Elephas maximus indicus: one gene and its partner. Each later gene encodes a partner of the first gene's protein in a complex. Links are inferred from orthologs where the notes say so. Each region holds a gene or a part of one and is shown in the gene's direction. Other genes may lie near its edges.

What was found. Proteins that work in one complex are often made in the same cells at the same time.
Region 2: the proteins of KLB (region 1) and FGF19 are in contact, whole or in part, in a crystal structure (PDB 6NFJ), measured with the Homo sapiens proteins. The link is inferred for Elephas maximus indicus from reciprocal best matches to the Homo sapiens genes KLB and FGF19. Residues at the interface, in NP_783864.1 of Homo sapiens: Phe379, Lys380, Val392, Leu394, Trp419, Phe420, Thr421, Asp422, Val425, Thr431, Tyr434, Met435, Asn438, Tyr643, Glu693, Arg696, His743, Asn824, Phe826, Met832, Gln848, Phe849, Leu850, Gln851, Ile853, Leu862, Phe931, Phe942; in NP_005108.1 of Homo sapiens: Leu192, Thr194, Asp195, Ser196, Met197, Pro199, Phe200, Leu202, Val203, Thr204, Ser211, Pro212, Ser213.

What each region holds. Positions count from the first base shown.
Region 1 is NC_064823.1:121,435,140-121,438,886, reverse strand, and holds the start of KLB (beta-klotho), read left to right. Parts: upstream 1-1,424; coding exon 1,425-2,249; intron 2,250-3,747.
Region 2 is NC_064825.1:132,523,465-132,527,211, reverse strand, and holds the start of FGF19 (fibroblast growth factor 19), read left to right. Parts: upstream 1-1,144; coding exon 1,145-1,385; intron 1,386-1,632; coding exon 1,633-1,736; intron 1,737-3,747. UniProt on the Homo sapiens protein: Involved in the suppression of bile acid biosynthesis through down-regulation of CYP7A1 expression, following positive regulation of the JNK and ERK1/2 cascades. Stimulates glucose uptake in adipocytes. Activity requires the presence of KLB and FGFR4.

The sequences.
Region 1 (3,747 bases):
TTCTTGGTCTGTCCTAGTCTGGAAAGGTCTTCTGAAACCTGTGTACTACGGGTGACCCTACTGGTATTTGAAATACGGTGGATAGCTTCCAACATCGTAGCAACACGCAAGCCACCACACAACCACAAACTGACAGACGGGTGGTGAAGACATTATGGCTAAAAAGAAGGGTGCTGCATGTAGTGAACGGAAAAGAAATGAAACTAAAAATGCAGGCAGGAGCCAGAAAAAAAGTGTCTTTTGTGCTACATCCTAGCACCACTTAATAATCTTTCTGTTTCGGATCTCAAATAAAAATAGTATTTATGAAACATTTACTATCTGCCAGTCTCTGTTATACATGCTTTACATGTATTAACTTATTTAATACAACAATCCATGAAGTAGATACTATGATTATGCCCCTTCATACATAAGAGGAAACTGAGGTTCAGAAGGTTAAATAACTTGTCCCATGTCACACAGCTTGATTTAAATTCAGGCAGGCTCCAGAAACTATTAACTAATTGCTCTGCCTCTCTTTAGTATGTGATACCTCAAGTATTAAAACTGTTAAATTTTTCAAAGGTTATTTGCAGGCTCTAAATTCTGTACAATATTTCTTTCTGTTTTTTCTTGTTTTGGAATCATGGTATTTAAATTGTCATGGTTTCTTATGTTTTAATATCTGAATGTACTTTTTGCTTTCACTGTTTTCTTTTTCAGACTTTGGTTTTTTGTAATTATTGACTATTTACTTAAGTGAATTTTCACAATAATTTTTGAACTAAAATTTGGTATTTAAGAATTTTGGTTAAGACTGTATAGAATATGTATATTAAATTGGAAAATACTTAGCATTTCCATCCAGAAAATGCTATACTTATCATTCAAGTGTTCTTTCAAATCTATTAATACAGTTGTATAATTTTCTCAAAATAGGTCACATACTTATTGTTAAGATTATTCTTATATGTGTGATAATTTTTGTGAAGAGTAGTATTTTATTATTTCTAACTCTTTATTATTGGTATATAAAATTGCAATGTACCCGTAGAAAGATTTTTTCTGAAATATGAAATAATAAAATTACTACTCAAAAACTGTAGCAATAGGTATGTATCTTATTCAAAACATTCAGAGAAGATTTGAGTCAATATGGAATGCTCCACAGAAAAGATGGCATTTTTATTCATTCGGATTTGTTGCTTGTATGTGTTTTAGTTACACATTCAAACTATTGTCACTGATGCATTTTCATCTAATTTCTTCATAACGGGAGAGAACTAAGCATGTTGGTGACTGTAATAGGGCCACCTCCCTCAAATTACGTTGCTCTCCATGACCCATCCTAAGTCTCACAGTTCAAGCTAATCATTGACAGAGCTTTACAATCACAAGCTTTTACTGAAGCGTTGATAAGACAGTCCAGCAGTTAGTGGCAAATGAAGCCAGGCTGTTCGGCAGGATCTCCAGGGAATGAATGGATTTTCTTCAGCACCGATGAGAGAAACACATGCTACAGGAAAACAATGTCCAACGGGGGACTACAAAGATCTGTCATCCTGTCAGCATTTATTCTTCTACGGGCTGTGACTGGATTCTCTGGAGACGGAAGAGCTATATGGTCTAAAAATCCTCATTTTAGTCCGGTAAATGAAAGTCAGCTGTTTCTCTATGACACTTTTCCTAAAAACTTTTTCTGGGGTGTTGGGACTGGAGCATTTCAAGTGGAAGGGAGTGGGAAGAAGGATGGAAAAGGACCCTCTATATGGGATCAGTTCCTCCGTACACACCTGAACAACGTCAACAGCACGAATGGTTCCAGTGACAGCTACATTTTTCTGGAAAAAGACCTATCGGCCCTGGATTTTTTGGGAGTTTCCTTTTATCAATTTTCAATTTCCTGGCCCAGGCTCTTCCCCGATGGAATAGTAGCAGTTGCCAATGCAAAAGGTCTCCAGTATTATAATACTCTTCTGGATGCTCTAATACTCAGAAACATTGAACCTATAGTTACTTTATACCATTGGGATTTGCCTTTGGCATTACAAGAAAAATACGGAGGGTGGAAAAATGAAAGCATCATAGATATCTTCAATGACTATGCCACATACTGTTTCCAGACGTTTGGGGACCGGGTCAAATACTGGATTACAATTCATAACCCATATCTAGTTGCTTGGCATGGGTATGGAACAGGTATGCATGCCCCTGGAGAGAAGGGAAAGGTAGCAGCTGTCTACGCTGTGGGACACAACCTCATCAAGGTACTGTACAGCTGGCTTCCTATTGTAACTTCACAGTATAAGCAGCATGAGTTAGAAAAAATAAAAAATGTACCTTCGGTTTAGAGAATCCTCTTTTCATTAAAATCAACTCAACTAATTTTAGGTCAATGCACAAGTTCCATCAAATTCAAAAATTCATATTTAGAGCAGTGTGTGTTTTATTTATATAAGCTATCAACATATTAATCTGGTTGATTTCATTTATACTTTCAGACTATTTTAAAACCCACAATTATATATTAGAGTGTGAGAATATGAGTTTACTTTCATTTTGTGGAAAGCCACTACTTTACAAATGCAATTGGTGAAAGCTTTCTCTGTCAACATGCAACTGTTTCAGAATCATGTTAAGGCAAGATCATTTCCTATATGTATTTGTTGTTAATATTGCTATTCTTAGTGGTACTTAGCTGTAGTAAACTAAATAATGTTACCTAACTGATACATATGAAATATAGGAATTGAAATAAATATACTTCCAGTTGGTTTTACTTGTATTACATTGCAGGAAATATGCAATTAATTTTTCTGGTGGTTAAAATTAAACAAGTAATACAAAAGTTGGGAAAAACTTGCCTTAGTATTTTAAAACAGTATATTTCAAAACCCAGAGTTTAGATTGGTAAATGTTAAAGTTATTAAAACAATACTGAAAATGCAAGCCAAATAGTAGCTAACATTTATTGAGTGCTTACTACGTGCCACAGACCACATTAAGCACTTGCAAGCACTCTCACATTTAATCCTCGTGACAACCTTAGGGACTAAGTCCTATTATTATCCTCATTCTAAAGATGAAAAAGCTGAAGCTTAGTAACGTTAAGTAACTCGCCCAAGGTTATAGAGACAAATGCAGCTGTTGTGAACATAGGATTTATAAACGAACCACATAACTAAATGCTAAATATCTTTATTTAAGAACTTTAAAAAAGAGTAATCTTTTAGGAATTTGCAAGAGTTTTAGCTTCACATTGAAGCTGCCAGTCACTGGAAGCAGGTATAATTTTTTAAGTCAAATAGATTACTTGGGGAAAGCAAATTACTCTGAACACCTGTTATATTTTGAAAATGGAAAAAAAAAACTTTATTAATAGGGGATGTGCTAGAAGAAATCGTTTAAATTTTGAATAATCAAATGTTACCCAAAAAAAAACCCAAATGTTAAGTATACAGAAATAGAAAATGTATAGAAACGGAAAATTCCTCCATTAACTAAATTTTTTACTTGTAAAAAGATCTGCTAACTCCTCTTTTCTTTTTGAACTTTCTGGATTATTATACATGTGGACTTGTGCTGTGGTTTTAGTCATATCTGCCCTTGCAGTGAACAGATTTCATTTTTTTCAAGTTTATTTGCATATTTTTGAATAGAGTTGTATATAGAACATATTATTAATATGTGAATAAACTTTGATTTGACAAAATAAGAACTTCAGGGGAGAAAACTTACAGGTATTTAACAGCTCTTAAGATTATA
Region 2 (3,747 bases), on another chromosome or scaffold:
GACAGCCGACCTTTTGGTTAGCAGCCCAGCGCTTAACCACCGCGCCACCAGGGCTCCTCAAAAACAGAAGGGAACGGAGGCCCAGACCTGCCTCCCTCCACCTGGTGCGCCCGGGCCTGAACTGGGAAGTGGGGGGTAGGGGGCGGCCCCAACCCAGCAGCTTGCAAGCCCACCGTGCCCCGAAAGTCGTCTTCAAATGGCAACCCTCCGGGCTCACCTCCCGGGCCGGGGCGGACGCAGAGAATCCCGGGGAGCACGGGGACCGGGCCGAACCTTGGGCTGGAGGGCCCCCTGGCGGCGGCGCGGCGACGGCTCCCCATTGTCTCCGCCGGGCGGAGATCACAACGGCCCCCCGTCGGGTGGCGATTTCCGCGAAGAAAGGGGGCCGGGGGCGGGATCGCGCGCGGATAAAGCCGGGAAACGTGAGAGGGTCGGAACTGCAGGGGGAGATTCAAACAGACGGCTTTTAGGTCTGGGGATATGCAGAGGCCTTGGGACTGTCGAAGGAGGGGTCTGAGTGTGGCCTTTCAAGGGGAGGGGGCTCTAAAGCCGGGCGAGGCTTTTCCGGACCGCGGGTGAGAAAAGCAAAGCTCAGTGACCCCCAATCTCCGGTTCCGGGATTCCTGCCTACGCCCCTGCTGGCGCTCCGCGCCGAACGCATCCCTGGGGAAGCCAGAGGCCCCGCGAAAGGCTCCGTGGTCCACGTCCTCGCTTAGAAAACCTAACGCCCCCAGCCCAGAAAACTCAGCCTCCGGCCGGCGGGGAGGAGCTCCCCGGACCCTCCAGCGAAGCCGGGCCTCCTCCTCCCCTCGATCCCGCGGCCGGGGCGGGGTCACCGGGGAGGGGGCTGGGGCGGAGGCGGGGTGTGAGTGGGTGTGCGCGGGGGGCGGAGGCTTGATGCAATCCCGATAAGAAGTGCGCGAGTGTCGAGGGGCACCTACTTGCCGGCTGATAAGGCGCGCTATATTAGACAGTCGCTAGCGCCGCCGCGCCGTCGGAACGGGAGCGCAGCGCGCCAGGGCGCCAGGAGCGCACGGCTACCTCGAGGCTAGCGGCCACCACCCGCACGCTCAGCCCGCAGCGTGCCCAGCCCGGCGCCCCCAGCCTCTCGCCGCCGGAGCCACCAGGAGCTGAGGGTGGTGCCATGCCGAGGGCTCCGAGCTGGCGCGCGGTGCTCCGCGCCCTGGCCCTGGCCGGCCTCTGGCTGGCGGCGGCCGCGCCTCCCCTGGCCTTCTCGGACTCCGGGCCGCACGTGCACTACGGCTGGGGGGAACCTGTCCGTCTGAGGCACCTGTACACTGCCAGCCCACACGGCCTCTTCAGCTGTTTCCTGCGCATCCGCGCCGACGGCGCAGTGGACGGCGCGCGGGGCCAGAGCGCGCACAGTGAGTGCCTGCCGGGCCCTCGGGTTCCCACCGTCCCCCTCCCTGGCACCCCCTCCCCACTTCCCTCCGCTCCAGCGGGCCGCCACTCCCGGGAACTCCGAATCTTGGCACCTTTGTGTTCCACTTTCATCCCGGGTCCCCGACCCCGCGCGAAGCCAGGGAGGGGCACGGACCCGGGGACCGACGGCATCCGGGCGTCGCGGGCCCTCGGGCCCCGGCTGCAGCTTCTTACTTTCCTTTCGCCTAGGTTTGCTGGAGATCAAGGCGGTGGCGCTGCGGACCGTGGCCATCAAGGGCGTGCAGAGCGCCCGATACCTCTGCATGGACGCCGACGGCCGGCTGCAGGGACTGGTAGGTGTCCCCACGGGGCGGGACGCGCCAGACCCACGCCTGTCCCGGGCGGGGGTAGGGTTTGCGGGACCGAATCCGGAGTTGCCCGGATCCCCCTTCCCGGGCCCTCATTGAATTCCGAGGGGGAAATGGCAGGGCCGATTAAGCTGCGTCCGACCCCCTCCCAGCCCCCCCACGGAAGTGGGAAAGGCTGCTGTTTTTGGTCGCAGCTTGCAGCGGGAGAGTGGTTGGGAGCAGTTTTTGCATTCCCAATTGAGCTAAAAGCTGCCCGGAGGAAACCATTATCCGCTTCCTTTGATATTAAACAGGAAAACCCACCTCGGCCCATTCAGCCGCAGCCTGCATGTGGGTGGTCCTCCCTCCATTTCCCTCCCTGTGGTTTAAAGAGAGAGAGACCGAGGCTGTATGTTCACAACTTGGATCTTAAATCACTCTTCAAATAAGTCAGAAAAACCCAGTGCGTTGGAGGTTGAGCAGATGTTTAAGCATGAATTTGCGTGTTAGGACGTTTGAATTTCGGCGGTGGCGCTTATCCTTCTGTTGTACTCACCTGTCCGGGAAACTTTTTTTTTGAAGGGGGGAGGGGGCTAGAGGAGTGCATGAACTCCCTAGGTGGTGCAAACGGTTAAGCGCTCTACAACTGCGCAGAAAGGTTGGCAGTTCAAATCCACCCAGAGGCGCTCGGAAGACAGGCTTGGCGATCTGTTCCTGAAAGATTGCAGCCTAAAAACCCTGTGGAGCAATTCTACTCTACATATGGGGTCGCCACGAGTCTCCTTTGCCTCCACGGCAACGACAGGAGGGTACGTGGGGTGGCCCAGGTAACTACTGAAGCTTCTGGGGGAAGAGTGCGCAAGCTGGGCCTCTGGCCCAGAGGGAACAAAGGCGCGCGAGTTCAAAGGAACGAGCACTCGCCCCTCCCGCGCGGAGCCAGGCGCTCAAAGAGCCTGCGTGAAGTCCCGGGGCCCCCCACGCAGCCCGGCTCTGATGGAGAGGCCCGAGCCAGGGGTGGGGGAGGCTGCGCTTCCCGGGGTGCCCCCGCCTCAGCCAAGATGCAGATGCGCGCCTCCACTGGCGCGATCAGCAGCTCCTTTGTGAACCACAGCGCCAAGCTTTTTAGCATCTCTAGATTGTTTTGTGCCTCTGACGGGCATTTATTCAGAGTCCTTGCTTCTTTATTGCGGAGTCCTCTGTGAAAGACTGTGAAAGAACGCAAAGAAAGGAGGGGGCCGGAGTACTGAAAGCTGACCCCTAGAGCCACTCCAAACCCGTAGTGGCAACTTTTGTTATGTTGACATTTACTTAGGACAGGGGCAGCTAATGGTGGGCCTGGCGGAAGGGGCCAGTGGGTCTAACCCAGCCTTCTTCCCCTAATCCAAATCGGGGAGTCTGTTGGGGGGGATCTCTCCACTTAAAATCCCGTTCTGCCTCTGGATCCCTTGGGCCTGGCCCCGCAAAGATCGTGGTTGGTTTTTTTTTCTTCTCCAGCGGAAATTCCCCATTCTTCTATGAAGGTGAAATCGTTTCATTTTCTACGTGGAGCAAGCAGGCGGTGCTACTTTCCCCCAAACAACAGCAGAGTAATGTAGAGGCCTCTGATGCAATGTGTTTTTACTTCTCTTGCTTTTAAACATCTACTGATTGGCATATTTTTGGAAATTCAGGAGAAGTCACCCTTGCCATACTATGGCTTTGTGGTGGCTTTGTGCCAGAGTCCCGAGCCGTGACTGGTTGCGTCATTCACGTTATCAGCATATCTCATCCACCTGCGGTTCAATAACCTCATAAACCTGGGCAGAAATGAAGCTGGGTGCTTCCTGGGATTATGTTTACTGCCCAGCCCTTCCAGGCTGCCCTGTCCCTGGTGCCTTTCAGACCTGCCCCTGAAGTGGTAAGGACACTTTCCAGATTAGCACAGGGCTGGCCCATTGGCACCTCTCTTAGGGCTCCCCCAAAAGCAAACCTGTTGCATGGAGTGGATTCTAACTCATAGTGACCCTGTAGGACAGAG